Drosophila melanogaster: one gene and its partners. The protein of the gene in region 3 interacts with the protein of the main gene of each other region in a pairwise test. Each region holds a gene or a part of one and is shown on either strand. Other genes may lie near its edges.

Region 1 (4,842 bases), on a different chromosome or scaffold from region 3:
GCCAGGGAGAGAAACAGCATGTATCAACTTATGTATTGCAAGAGTGGGTGGTGCACTGCCGAGGGAGAGGCACGGATGGCCGAAGTGGGTATCAAGGCGGTTGGAACACCCGAAGGCATATTCGAAAACCGGTTAACAGCTGGCAGCCAACTGACGAACGAGAAATACATCACCGAATGGGCAAATCTCAAAGACTTTACAAGTTACAGATATTAAGGCGTATGGGTCGGGTTAATATAAATATCTGCATGCACAAAAAGAGTTACCAGAAGCAAAATTTTTTTTTGCAGAATTGGAGACCAGGCTTACCACTCAAGCCCGATAATTTATTGCCTTCTTCCACTCATTGCGTTTGTAAGCATGGGCAAATCCCTACATCAGTTGCCAGTTCTTGTAACCGCGTCTCGACGGCAGAATCGACCGCCTTTAGCCAGAGTTATGACCCCGAAAGCTGTAAATTAACCTTTGAGGCCGCGCACATTTAAAAGGAGTTCAAGAACATAAACCAGCGTCCGCAATGTATAATCCGGAGCCAATCAACTTCCAAACTCGCGGTCAACCTTCGGACAGACTGAATCCCAGCTTACGAAATGAGAAGAGTTGAACGGTAAGAAGGCACGGTAAGAACGGCTGATAGACACAAAAACCGCAAGCGACGCAGTCAAAATAATAATGAGCCCGACATTTAAAATGGTTTATGAGACAGCCCCTTCTGCGGCTCCTCGAAAGCACAAGACTTGGCCCAGCCGCAGCCTCATCAGCAGCGTTGTCAGCCGCAGAATTGGCGATTCTTCGATTTTTCTGGGTCAAGCACCACGCGAAAGCAGAAAGAGCTAAAGACTTGGCCCAAGAAATGTGTGGTAGAGGTAGAGTTCAAAACGTGCCTTGGCCGTACTATTCAGACATGCAGTGCCTTCCCACCCTCTTATTCTCCCTGATCGAGACCGTCTCTGTTTCGTTGTCGAAACAATTTCCGGCGGCTGCACCGAGAAAAATATAACGTGTAACGATGATCGAACAATAAAGACAAGCGAATCTATACAGAGTCAATTCGGAAAGCTTTAAGTTTTCTAGAACCGAACATAACACATGTTTAATTAAAGCCTTTATGGCGTCCTTTTTGCGCTTTCAGAGCTCGGTAGAGTTGAATGTCAATGTAATGAGCCAGCCAAGTTCGGGTCATAAAGCCTCTGCCACATGAAAGTAGTTCAAGTACTCAACGGCGCCGTTACATTTCACTGCTTATGAATTGGGAGTCGCCCGGCCAGACAGTCCGCCAGACGACACTGACTTCCCGATGTGTTAATAATTTTGTTTTGATTTCAGGGATTCGAAAAGCCTACTTTGACTCTGTGGAAGGGGATAAGAAAATATAGCGCTTGAATTGGGCCTCTTGGATCTTTAAATTTAAAGGACAAAGGAATATTAAATCACTTAAAAAATGGTAATTTTTACAGCCCCTATATTGTTGTCCTTAAATACAAATGAAATGAAAGCATATGGTTTATACGATTCGCCCAGTTTTCACGATGTTCCTTTTGAAATCACATCAAGTTATGGGATGGACATCATGGACATCAATTATGGGAACATTTTGTTTTTAAGGAAATGAGATCATCTTACCATTTTAAAATACCTAAAAAATTATGGGAACATTTTGTTTTTAAGGAAAGGAGATTATCTTACCATTTAAAAATAACTAAAAGTATTCCAATTGTCCCTTTCTCAGTCTATCAAGATTTTAATGTATTTCCGTTGCTGTGTTGATAAGATTTGTTACCCAAAAGCCAGTTGGGATTTCACGTTTTACTCGTTTTGTTCGACTCACATTCTAGTCACATTTTCATAGAGAATTCGTTTAATTTGCGTGCACATTATGCGTATAACATTTCTTGTGCAATATGTACCCGACTGGAAGCCACTTGATGCCAATCGAGGAAATTATTGCACGACAAATATCGGATTTTTCACCTGTGAATTAATAACGGTAAATTACTCATCCAGCGTCGCGGCGGGCGCACTTGTATGGGTTAACGAGCGAGCAAGCAAGTCAACGAATTCACAATAAAATAAACAAAATGCAGACGCGAAAAATCGACGAAACTTGTTGGAGCTGAAAACGCGGAAACTGTTGCAAGCGAATCGAAACCAGAAAAACTTTTCTGCACACTCTGTCCAATCAGAACAAACACTCGAACTCTTCTCTCCCACACACACTACACCAGCACTCACACGCACAAGTTCTGCTCTTGCACTTGCCTCTTTCTACTGCTTTCTTTGAGTCTTGGGTTTTATTTTACACGACTGCGGCGCTCTTGTTGCGTTTTCCTCACCTTTCGCAGAGTTTATTGACATTTTCAGCGTTCGCTTTGTGCGCTGCTTTCTTCGTGCGCAATCTCTTTTTTCTCTCGCCAGTCTGTTCGCTCTTTCTCTCTTTCCCTTTCTTCTCTCCGCTCACAACACTTGCTTTTTTGTTTACAATGGAACGCTCGCACACACACACTGGTAAACGGGTCACTCACACGCACACAGAATAACCTTCAATTTTATCTTATTGCGCGCGCCCCAGTCACTCGTTATTCTTAAACTTTGCCGAAATTAGGATTTGCTTTGGTTCGCTGCTGCAGCTTTAAATATCAATCAATGTCTTTGCAATGCTGGTGTGGTTAGAAATCCACATTCACCTCGACGCCTCTTCCACACACCCATACACGCAGCCACGGACGACCTTTGCGGTGCGAGCGAGACGACCCGCCACAAAAAACTCCACTTCCGCTCTCTCGTTCACCCGTTGTGCTGACGGCGAAAAGGTTTTCGAATTAAGTACATACATATATTCTTATTCACTTATTCACGGATTTAACTACATATGCCACTGTAGGCGCTACCACTCTTTTTCGCTCACAGCATGAACGGTGTTTTGCGCTCGAATCCGATTCCACAACCGCTCTAGCGATCACACGACGCAACACAGTCCCGCCTGCGACGAAGTAGCAAAATGTTTGTTTTGTTAGTGGAGCTCTCGGTCTGTTAGCGAGCGTTGCCACCTTTCTGCGAGCTGTTGCTGCACACTGCCACTTTACGAACACAGATCTGATAGCGGGACAAAATACGTCAAGGCAGCGACGGTGGGTTACTAGTGAATTTGGAACGGTGGTCTTACGACGTAATGGTCTTTTATATTTTCATTATTTTTTAAATTGTCGCTCATTTACCAATAAACCTTTTTACTTTTTCCTGATAGTCCGAAGTCAGATCAAATAGGAAGTTTCACAAAAAATTTTCATCCAGAGAAAATACGCCGACGCTATTCGAGTTTTTTGTATTCGTTAACCGGGAAAGAATAGTTCGAATTCGTTCGCACTTTATCGATAGTAGATTGCTATTATGGAGCCCACTTGTAAAATAATTTAATTCCAGACTGATAAAAGCGATCAACTTTTGTTAGTGGTTTAAGTCTATGATAATACTTAGTTCAAATTGTTTCAAAGTAGTCGATAATTTATAATAACAGTTTTAGATGACCTCTAGGAAATAACTAATTACCCACATTCTTCAAGAAGTGTTTTCAATTTGTTCTATAATTAAATAACAGTTGTATTAATTATGTAAATATTGTTACTCATAATACAAATTAAACAATATAAACACACATAAATAAGAGAATTGGAATATTTTGTCTCAGATTAGATTTTCCACACGGGAAATTTAAATCACCACGTTTGGTAATATCGTATCGTTTTATCCTAAACGAAACACGCTTATTAATACATAAGCTAATTGTTTTTATACCCGTTACTCGTAGAGTAATAGGGTTTACTAGATTCGTTGAAAAGTATGTAATAGGCAGAAGGAAGCGTTTCCGGCCATATTAAGTATATATTCTTGATCAGGATAAATAGCGGAGTCGAACTGGTCATGTCCGTCTGTCCATATGAACGTCGAGATATCAGGAACTATAAAAGCTAGAAAGGTTGAGCATCGACTCGGCTTAATAAGAATATATTTTATATCTGTTAGACATTTTATCGGATGAATTGTAACAGGTATAATAAACGATTTCTTATATATCGTCAGACATGTGTGTATATTTTGAACGAAACAACTTAAATTAGTTTGTAATGTTATTTTATAAATTCCATCCTAATAAATATTACTGGATTTGCAATGAGTTCCTTAGAACATATTAGTACTCGTGTTTCACTAACCATGTCCATCAAGCTGACACTGCTATGAATGGGTATGTGTGATGGGTATCTGGTGGACAAGCTCTGATCTAAATGGTGTTGTCCATCCCAATAGCACTGACTTGTCTGTAGTCTAAACTGTGAAACACTCCTTTATTACTGAATTCTAGATAAATGTACATACATATGTATACTACGGAGTGGTTGCGAAATCAGAGGCAATCAGATATTGAAGCAAGTTCAAGTGACATACAATGGAATTGGTCGTGTATAGCCGCCTATAAAGACATTAATAGACGACCCCAAAGCTCTCATTTAAGCTTAGCTTTAGTTTTCGGTAGATACAACTTATTAGTGTCAGAGATATTGAGCTTTGGTCGGCCACTGCATTTACATTATTTATTGCGTAATATTTAAATTGATAAATTGCGCATATATGCTAATGCTAAGTCTTCAATCCATATGTTATATTGTATTTTCACGCATTTTTAGATGAAGAAAACATTCTTGACTCGGATCGACTACGATCCACATTGGCATATGTTTGCCGTGCATAATATGGGTATTCTCCATTTAAATGTCTTTGGATGTGGTTAGCTAATTGGTTAATTAAGTGAGACCGCGGGCAGAAAATATCGACGAAAATACATTTTTG
Region 2 (4,872 bases), on a different chromosome or scaffold from region 3:
CTTTTTTTATTGGAAATTTTTATTTTAAAGAGGTTGGCTAAGGAAATTGGTTGTATTTTAAATGTGGGCAATCGAAAAAAAATTTTTGTTAAAGGTTTTTTAAAGGGTGGGCAAACGATAAAAACTAATAATAATTGTTGGGCAAACGTTTTTTGTTGATAATATTTGGTTTTAAGAGATGGGCAAACGATTTACTCTCTGATTAGACCGAGGTAAACTTAAAAGCCTTATATTTTCTAAAGTATACATTTTTTCAAAATTCTAAAGGGTGGGCAAACGTGGGCAAACGATGTTATTGCGATTTAAAAAAAAAAAATTTTGAAAAAAGCGAAATTTTTGATTTTCGAAAATTTTCGAACTTTTTCGAAAATTCATATCTCAAAAACTGGACGTGGGCAAAAAAAACTAATTGGTGGGCAAACATGGGCAAAAAATGGGCAAACGATTCCAGCTTTCAAATTTCAAAAATTCGATTTTTCCGACCCCAGCTTCTTTGAGCTATGTCCGTCTTGTTTATGCCAATAATAAATAGATAATTTTGGAGGATTAGCATTGTATTGGGGACTGTGACTGTTGGCCAGATATAACCACTTGGAACGGCACAGTGTGGATTGATTTACACGTCCGGAGCAGCGGAAACACGTATATATGTTGCGAGGCTCTCTAATCAATATCTCGACTAAACTAAATTCTTCGAGTGGCTGTAAGGGTGAAGGAGTGGGCGGGCGGGCACTCAGTTACTCAGTTGGGCAATAAATGATTGTTAAACGCGATAAAAAGATAAAAAATATTTCGACTATTGTTGTTGTTTCTGCGTGTTACACACGGAACAAACACATAGCCATTTGGCTTGTTAGCACCTCGATGACTGTTGTTGGCTGGGCTGGTCTACATTTAATAGCTTGCCCCCGCTTGGGTTCGCCGTTATTTATAGGGTATATTAATATTCTTTATCTTTGGAAATACCTCTTGTAGCAGCGTTTGTGGGTAGGTAGCACCTTCCTGCAGCTACTTGAAAAGATAAAACCTTATTTTTTATGGCCGCCTGATCAGATAAAGCCACCGTGCAGCAGGCAGCCGTGTTCAACACGACTGCGAACGAAATCGGAATCGTACCGACCAGGAGGGGCCGCGGCGATATCATATCCATACACCATATAGCGTACATAAATAGTAGTACACCACCGTTCTAGAGTCCATTTGAAGTACATTTGATGAGGTCAGCAACGCACCCAATCTCCCCGATCCGATCGAAGTGGGCTGCGGCTCCGACTCTGCGCTCTCTTGCCATGGACCTTATCACGATACTCCCTCCGCCGGTGGATACTCCGTGCGTGGCGTGGGTAAACAATCCCGGTGTGCCTCCGGAGGCGGAGGACTCCGGCAGCTACCACACAGGCATAGACAACGCGGCGGCACTCCGGCTCACCGGAGGATTATCACCAGACCTCGATTCTTAGTGGGTTGCTGCTGTTTGTCTTTAGATTTACGACTCTACAGTCAAACTTCACTAACTGGAACATGAATCAGAAACGGACAGATATTACGAATTGGATTATATTACCCTGAATTGGATTAGTAAATCAAATCGGTTATCAAATGATTACAGTTCATTACAAAGTCTTTAGATAACTGTAGGCTGGATAAACCTTAATGCATTTGCATAAACGATTTATAATCTTCCTAATATCGCTGCACTACTTAATTTTAATGGGCGATCCATCAAACGACTAACAATATTATTCGATTGATTACTTTGTATGCTAAAAAAAAGGCAAGTTAGGCTTATGAAATAAAGTGTAAAGTTAATAGGGCGGGTATAGTTGGATTTATGGTAGCGATACTGTAAAGACAGACGTAGTCGTGCTGGGACGCTCGTCTGGAACTCGGAATCGAACTGGCGGTGGAGCTGGGCTGATAACCACCGAATGTGTCATGGAATTTAACACAAAGGTTGATTTATATCTAAGCGTTTGACAAGAGTGATGAACAGACAGGCTGACGGGCGGGCTCCTCGATAAACTGACACCGCTGTCCCAGTGATAAACTGACCGATTTCTGGGGGAATATGCTTGACCAAGTAACCAGCAGTCACTCTTCCCTGGCATTATACAGACTATGTATGTATGTGAAGGGTATGAAATAGCCCAGCGAATAGTCAGACTCTTTTCCGGCTTATTAAAATTCCAAGAAAATATGTCTACAATGTATTTGCAATGCCAAGAGCCAAGCAATTTGTAAGAAACCCGAATCCTTCAGTTACGCACTCAATGTTCCATTAGGATCATCCATATGCATGGCAACGAAAGCTCGGAACATTAAACTTGACCAATTTCTGGAAGACCACTTCCGTGCCCAGTATCAAAATACACATATAAATGCCGCGCTGACAATGTAAGCCACGCTGCATAACTTAGCATTTAAACCGGGGACGCCGGCGATGGGGCCGCAATCTTGTGCTGCCTAATCGGTGTACTCACTGATGGGATGCTTGCAGGGATTGGTAGTGAATATCTCCTGGAAGTAGGGGCTGCAGATAGCCAGCACTATCTTGTGGGCATGGAGGAGCTTTCCATCGCAGGCGAGGGTCACGTCCACCAGGTCGCCGCGGTCGTACAAATTCTGGAAGCCGCTGGCTATGTTGTCCTGGAAGTTCTTCCAGCACAGCTTAAACTCGTCGTCCATCGCGGATGCGGATGCTCGCCGAAAACCAGACTTTTCCAATTCCAATTGGGGAGCGTAATTTATGCGCACAGACTTTTGCGATGATTCTCGTGCGAATCTGTTTTTTATGGCTTTTGTTTATCCGCTTTGCTCGTGATTCGTTCACGGGCCAAAAATCGCAATTCACGTATTCTCGCGCACCTTTATTTTTATTATATCAAGGGTTCGAATTTGATAAACTAGCTACCAACTACTCGATCCGCATTCACGCGCACACGATCTCGAGTCGTTCGCGTCCACGGGCGCATTGATTTTGATTTGGGCTCTAATTAACACAGTGTGATTTAAACATTTTTATCGGAAAGCGTGAAAAGCAGCGACGCTGTTTACGTTCCGGCTGATAATGAACGCACCACCCCCCCGCACTTTGAGGAACAGTGAAATGTTGGTTTTTTAGGCGCCACAGCGAACGGTCTCACTGGCCACTGGTAAACAAACGAAAATGTTTGCTGAACTTTAATTCCAGCTATAAAAATTTGATTAACAATCAAAACTGTTATCACAAAGAAAAACGTTAGAGAGGAATGAAATTCTGGGATTTTATACAGAAATAATAATTCTAAAGAGATTATAAATCCTGCAAATATATATTTTTGTAAAATGTATGTTAACTACTAATTTGTTAAAAATGTTCGCAATTACTACGTAAATTGCTTGAATTGTCAAATGCTTCTAAGCGTTTTTGAAATCTGGCCCACAAGAGCGGAATTTTCAATCGATAGCCTTTTCGATAAACGATATCATAACGACAATTGAATATTTAGCGCCAATTAGAGAGCATTGAAAACGTTTTCCCCTGATAAGAGCTTATCGCAATTGGTTTGTTGGTCGCTTCGTTGCGGTTATATCCGACCGGCATTGTCCGCTTTTATCACAGTTCTACGGTTCTTTGCACGATGCTAATACGGCCGATGGGGAACTACACTGTTGATAGCAGACCTACCCATGGTGTCATAAATAACCCACTTTACATTTTAAACAAAAAGAGAATAAAAGTAACAGCAGGGCTTATCAATTAGCCATGAGTCGTTTGTACGCCTCAGGTGCACACATACGCACCCAGTCAATTGGCCACCGATTTGATTTGCCCGATTTAGTGCTCAAAGAACTTTCAGCAAATTAGCCCACTCGTCCCGAGAATCAGTAAAGAGTATACCATAATGGGTTGTTGTTTTGGTAAGTGATTTGCAGCTATCTTCAGAAGGCAATAACAGCGACTAATAATAGTTGTGTACTTGCAGGCAAAAGTAAATCAGTCGATTTGCCCGCGGTTCCGCCGGCTCCAGCCAAACAACGCTCCACTCTGCCAGAATTCCCGATTTCTGGATCGGTGACTAGCACGGCTCCTGCAGGATCTGGATATGGATCTGGAGGAGCCACCAATGCGGCCCTCGAGGATGACTAGACGTGGTTAAAGGAACAGAAAAAACGTTCACGTCCAGGGAAAACTGTAAATTTGCCAAATGGCAGATTGGATTATGAGTCATTCCGTGCCGAGATGTGGTTTTTTCAAAGTTGTGCACCCTTTGTAGTTAGTATTGTAGTAAAATACGTTGTTTATTGTTGGAGAGTATAAAATTGTTGGTAAATTAAATCATAACTTTAATCTCTTTGAATAAGTTGCTGTTCTGTTTTTTTTCCTGTTTCGCCAGTTTATATTTTAGCGCGCCAAGTGTCGCCCTATACAACACTGAAACAAGGGCGGTATTTTTCGGTATTTTAAAAAGGGTCATACCATTCTCTGCCAGCACGTGTGTGCGGCTGTTTTTGTGTTTAACTTAAATTTTAAACGATTTATGCTGTAAATAGGCAAATATAATTTATAATATTATTATTAAAGCAAAATGGCCATTCAACCCAATCGAAGAAAGAGAAGGCACGAGGAGACAACTGCTGAGCAAGAGGATGAAGGTGAAGTGGAGGTGCCCAAAAAACTGGCCAAGGAGTCCGACACACCGAAGAAAAAGAAAAAGAAGGATAAAACTAAGGAATCATTCGATGAATCCACGCTGGAAAGCACTGAAACCGATCCTGCTGACTCCACTCCATCAAAGAAGAAGTCTAAAAAGACAAAGACATCCGACACAAGTGTAGAACAACAGGTGGAAGTGGAGATGGCTGAGGATGAAATAAGTCGCGATTCCGGGA
Region 3 (4,597 bases):
ACGCTATTAGTAAAGCACACCCAATCGCAATCGCACCTATTGTAGAACTATCTGTACGCTGTAAACAATCTCCTATAAAGTCGTAATCAAACTATGCAAATGGCTAGAATTCATTTTTTCAGGTCCTAACTATCAGGCAATCATTTCATCATACAATGGTATCATCTACATCATCATCTACATACAATGGTATTTAAAAGTTCTTTAGAGTGCATTATTAACCGAGAAAATATTTCCTAGTTGAAGACTCCTGTCATGCTTTAAGTTTCCCAGGCCGTTTGTTCCTGAGTATTGCACAATAAAAGTCTCACACCCCTTAGGGCCACATAGAGTGTGCAATTGCATCCTTGTGGTAAAACAAAAGATAAAGTCTTGAGTTTTCGAGGGGTCAGCCAACAGACTCCAACTCTATTTGAAATGGCAGCTATTAAACCTAAAATCGTCTTAACAATTACAGACAATAACGATGTGAGGGTGCGAGAAACCCAACTGTGAGCTTAATCCCGGCAAGAACAGGCATCCAGCTCATTGTCGGATTCAAAGGGGTATTCAATTTAGTTTAAAAGTTGAACCCATCCCATGCGGGCCACTCGCAGCCAGACAATGGAGCACTTGGCAATGGCAGAGTCAGTGCCCCAGGGCGATCTCCAGGCGGCAATCTGCCAGGACCAATCCAGCCGTGAACCCGGAATGTCCACAAAAGGCCTCGCTGATAATGAGTTTGGGAAATGCCTGTGTATTGGAATCTCCGCCAGAGTGCATTAAAAGCTGGATAGAAAGTGGAGGCCCTCTGAATGTGCCGCCATTCACCTGAATTGCCGGACACCCGCACTGCAGATATAGTTGCTGCAATTAAAATTACACGGCGCCATCACTTGTAAAAGGGCTGTGCACGGCGGGAATTTGACGCGGTTTTGGATTAAATGGGCAAACAGGAAACAATTAGCATTCCACTTAATTGCAAAATATCTAAAATTTCAATAACTAAAGCCATTTGCCTTCCTATACTGATGGTATAACAATAGACCGACATTAATAGACAATATAAGCTTCGAAAGTTACAATTTGTTAATCATATGTTTCTTATTCAACCGAAATTGTTTTCAGTTTTTATTTGTATTAATCTCTTTTGAACGTAGTTTTCACTCACCTGATAGTCCATTGAGTTGCCATAGCCCATGTGGTTGCAGGAGCAGGAACAGTGCTTGATATGCTGCTCCAGCTCGTCATCGATGACGGTGGTGCTGGTTGTTAGGTGTCCAAGTGCCTCGTGATGGAAGTGGGCATGCTCGAGATCCCAGTGATCCCTCTGGCGAAAGCGAATGTCCTTTCCCTGCTGCTCCAACAGCTCTACAGGATTTGCAGCTTGATGTGGCTGCGGGGATAGATGCTGTTGCGCTTCCCCGGGCCAATCGAATGAGCAGGACTTGAACACACGTCTGCCACCCGTTCCGCCCACCGCTGTGGATTGTGTTTCCCTGGCGGGACTGTTCTGTGGACTGGGGCTAATGGCATTAACTTTGCTGTTATCGCTCTCTTGGGCTGTTAAGCTGCCGACTCGCAGGAGAGCGCCGCGCTCGAAGCTTTTGGCCGCCTGGTGGAAAGCTCCGTACGCAACAGTTTCGTCCTCCTCAACATCGCTGGCATTCTGGTAGCGACGCATTGGCGGGGCGCCACCAGTTGCTCCGGCCACGTTACCGTTACCAATGGCCGCCGCCGTTGGCGTCACAGTTACCGCCGAGCTGGCCGCACTGAGCATGAGGCGGAGTATTTCATTGGTGTCCTTCGACGGCAGCGGCACACTGCAGGAGCCCGTTTCCGCCTCGGAGATTTCCTGTGTTTCCGAGTTCAGCTCATCCGAACCGTTGGGCTCCTCGACTTCGATCTGTTGGTTTTGGCGTGCACGTTGGCCCACTATCGAGGCGGCCGTGGAATTGGCTCCGTACTTCCAGTACGTTTTTCCAGTGCCAGCGATCCTCTGCAGATGACTTCCAGCCGCCTGACGTTTTCGCTCCTGCAGCTGTTGGAGATTTTTAAAGACTTTTCGCACCGGTTGCGTGTGATGCAAGGTGGCACATCTTCTCATGGGCGGCGGCGTATATACCGGGGAAACACTGTAGCTGTGCGAGTGCCGACCGGGCGAAAGTGAGCCACTCGACTTCGCGCCCACTAAGCGGGCTTTCAGTTTACGGCCAAAGCCCAGGCCACTTCCGCCTGCCGTTGCGCTTCCGGTTCGCGAGGTGAGTGAGTGGGCGGACAAGGAGAGGGCGCGACTGAATCGCAGAGCCGCTGATCTCTGCTGCTTGACGGCCATCAGCTGGCACTCGTCGATCGTCGGCAGCTTTAGCAGGTGAGGATGCAGCTGGGCATAAGTTAGTGAAGGCTTCGCACTGGGCACATCCGGTGAGGGATTCGGCAGCGGATCGAAGAGGTTTCTCTGGCTGAGGGCCAGGAACTCGCGCTGCTCCTCCTCCTCCAGCGCCTTCAAAGCACGCAGGTCCCACTCGCCAGAAGACATGGTTCCCTTTAGTCACTCATGGATTGTTAATTCTTTTTCACGAATTTTAGTTGATATTTGAGTAATGACACGCAAATCATCTTTATTTATGTTTCAGTATTAGCACTTATTCTGGTCTATTTACTTTTAATTTGCATATTTATGAAAATAAACACATTTTTGGTGGCCTAAGTATTCAAGTATTCAAGGATATAACATTATAAAGGAGGTACAACTTATATGTACATATAATATATTGAAAGCAAGTAAAATAATGTAAGCTAAGTAATAAATATAATATACAAAAAATAACGTTTCTATTATGTAAGTGAAAGTAAATGATAAGATAGTAGATATAATAATCGGATTCCAAACGCTACCTATTTTTACTCTTTCACTAACAATGTTATGTTTGTTATGCTTTTCCAATATCACGGCGTAAACTAAAACAAATAAATTATAACACGTCAATCCCGCCAATATTCCGTCACATTTTCCGTTGGATAAAACCGCTAACGCTACCCGGTTCAATTCAATTACCGTTGCCACGCGGCGCTGCCAACACACTGGGCTCTTCAGTGCTGCGGTACCGTTACTTTATAACGGCACTGCTAACAGCAGCAGCAACAGTTTCCGCAAGGAGTACCCCCCAGTGGATGGATGCTGTGGATCGTAAGTGACCTGGCCCAACAAAAAAGTATGGCAGTGGGTCGCCATGTTAACAGTATGTAATGTAAAGTCCATGTTAATGCAAAGATATTTTATTGTAATACTTATTTGAAAAAAAGTAACTATAAAATATAAAACAAATATCCATTGGAATCATGTAACAATAAAAAGAATTTAACCTCCAAAGTAGCGTTTTTTTGTTTTAATGCTATGCCTTAACAGACCTTAAAACATTTTTACCAAACAGGGCTTTTCTTATTGAACTCAATAGCATACATTCTTCTTGGTAATCAAAGTTACGCTTGCTCCTGGCCACAAAGCCAAAGTCTATTGTTTTATGATGGTGTTATCCCAACTTGGGGCAAAGAGTTGGCCCAAAGGTGATACCGCAGGTGACGGGGCGGCAATGAAATATGCAAGTGCATTCATTTGGCATCCAAAGCAATTTCGCAGTCAGCAGGACGACGACACATAGCCATTTTTGTTAACCTCATCTCAAAATGTTCACCGACCCCCAAGCCAGCACTCAGAAAAATATAGTGTGATATCTAATATTATGTTTTTAAATTCAATATAAATTATTTAAAAAATCAATGTGCGAATAGCTAGAAAACATGATATATTTTAGTTGTACAGATGAAACGGCCCACGCATTAAAATTTTTTTTGTAGTGTGACCATTTCTTGTAACTTAACATTACAATGCACGGCCACATTTCTGCACACCTGTACCTGGGTACATATGTAAGTACTTGCTCATGGCACACACATACTCTGAAGTGCTCATCCTTCATCCTGATGTATGGCCATCAAGCATCGGATGGGCTGAGTGTCGGAACACGGAGGGGAAGTAAGTATGTGCACCGCTGAATCCCCCGAATCGTGTTAATGAAATTCAAGCTGGGTCAAAAATTTGCATTAGCACATCCGGCATCCATATGCAAATCATATTTCAGATACGAGGACTCACATGATTAACAAAAAGCGGATCGATGGGACGTTCGTAAAAACAAAAATATATATGTAACTTTGTGGATATATATCCATTGCTCCATTAAGTGACTTATTTTAATCTTAGTATGCAGGCAAAGGAATAATTAATTATTATATAATTATATTAATTGCCGTTCTCTTATAATAAATTAAATTTTTTCTATGGCACAACAATTATTTGTTAATAATTACAGGAAATATCTACTAAATAGACGTTTAAATTGGTTTTATTTAAACCTTTCACGTAAATGTGAAGGCGTTGTGGTAATTAAAAATATTTAAATATTAAGAAAAAAACAGAAAAATGTGGTTTCCTATTGTCTTGTAAAGCCAACAAATAATTATTTTGAAACATTGGCTTACTGCAAATTCCCGTGGGAATTTTGCTGTCTAAACAATTTAAAAAGGATTCTTCTTTATTTAAAGCTTAATAACTTGG

Evidence for each region.
Region 1: the proteins of CG44837 (region 3) and Hr39 interact in a two-hybrid assay, tested with the Drosophila melanogaster proteins (one large-scale study listed by BioGRID).
Region 2: the proteins of CG44837 (region 3) and CG34376 interact in a two-hybrid assay, tested with the Drosophila melanogaster proteins (one large-scale study listed by BioGRID).

The regions. Positions count from the first base shown.
Region 1 is NT_033779.5:21,235,410-21,240,251, reverse strand, and holds the start of Hr39 (hormone receptor-like in 39), read right to left. Parts: upstream 3,003-4,842; 5' UTR 2,848-3,002; exon of another isoform or gene 2,832-2,847; intron 1,972-2,831; 5' UTR 1,687-1,971; intron 1-1,686.
Region 2 is NT_033777.3:22,446,229-22,451,100, reverse strand, and holds the start of CG34376 (uncharacterized protein), read right to left. Parts: upstream 3,003-4,872; 5' UTR 2,686-3,002; coding exon 2,481-2,685; intron 1-2,480. Other genes in the region: CG34288 (uncharacterized protein), read left to right, coding at 3,885-3,900, 3,966-4,129; CG12499 (uncharacterized protein), read left to right, coding at 4,569-4,872.
Region 3 is NT_037436.4:11,935,823-11,940,419, forward strand, and holds the start of CG44837 (uncharacterized protein), read right to left. Parts: upstream 3,051-4,597; 5' UTR 2,878-3,050; intron 2,686-2,877; 5' UTR 2,519-2,685; coding exon 1,151-2,518; intron 98-1,150; exon of another isoform or gene 1-97.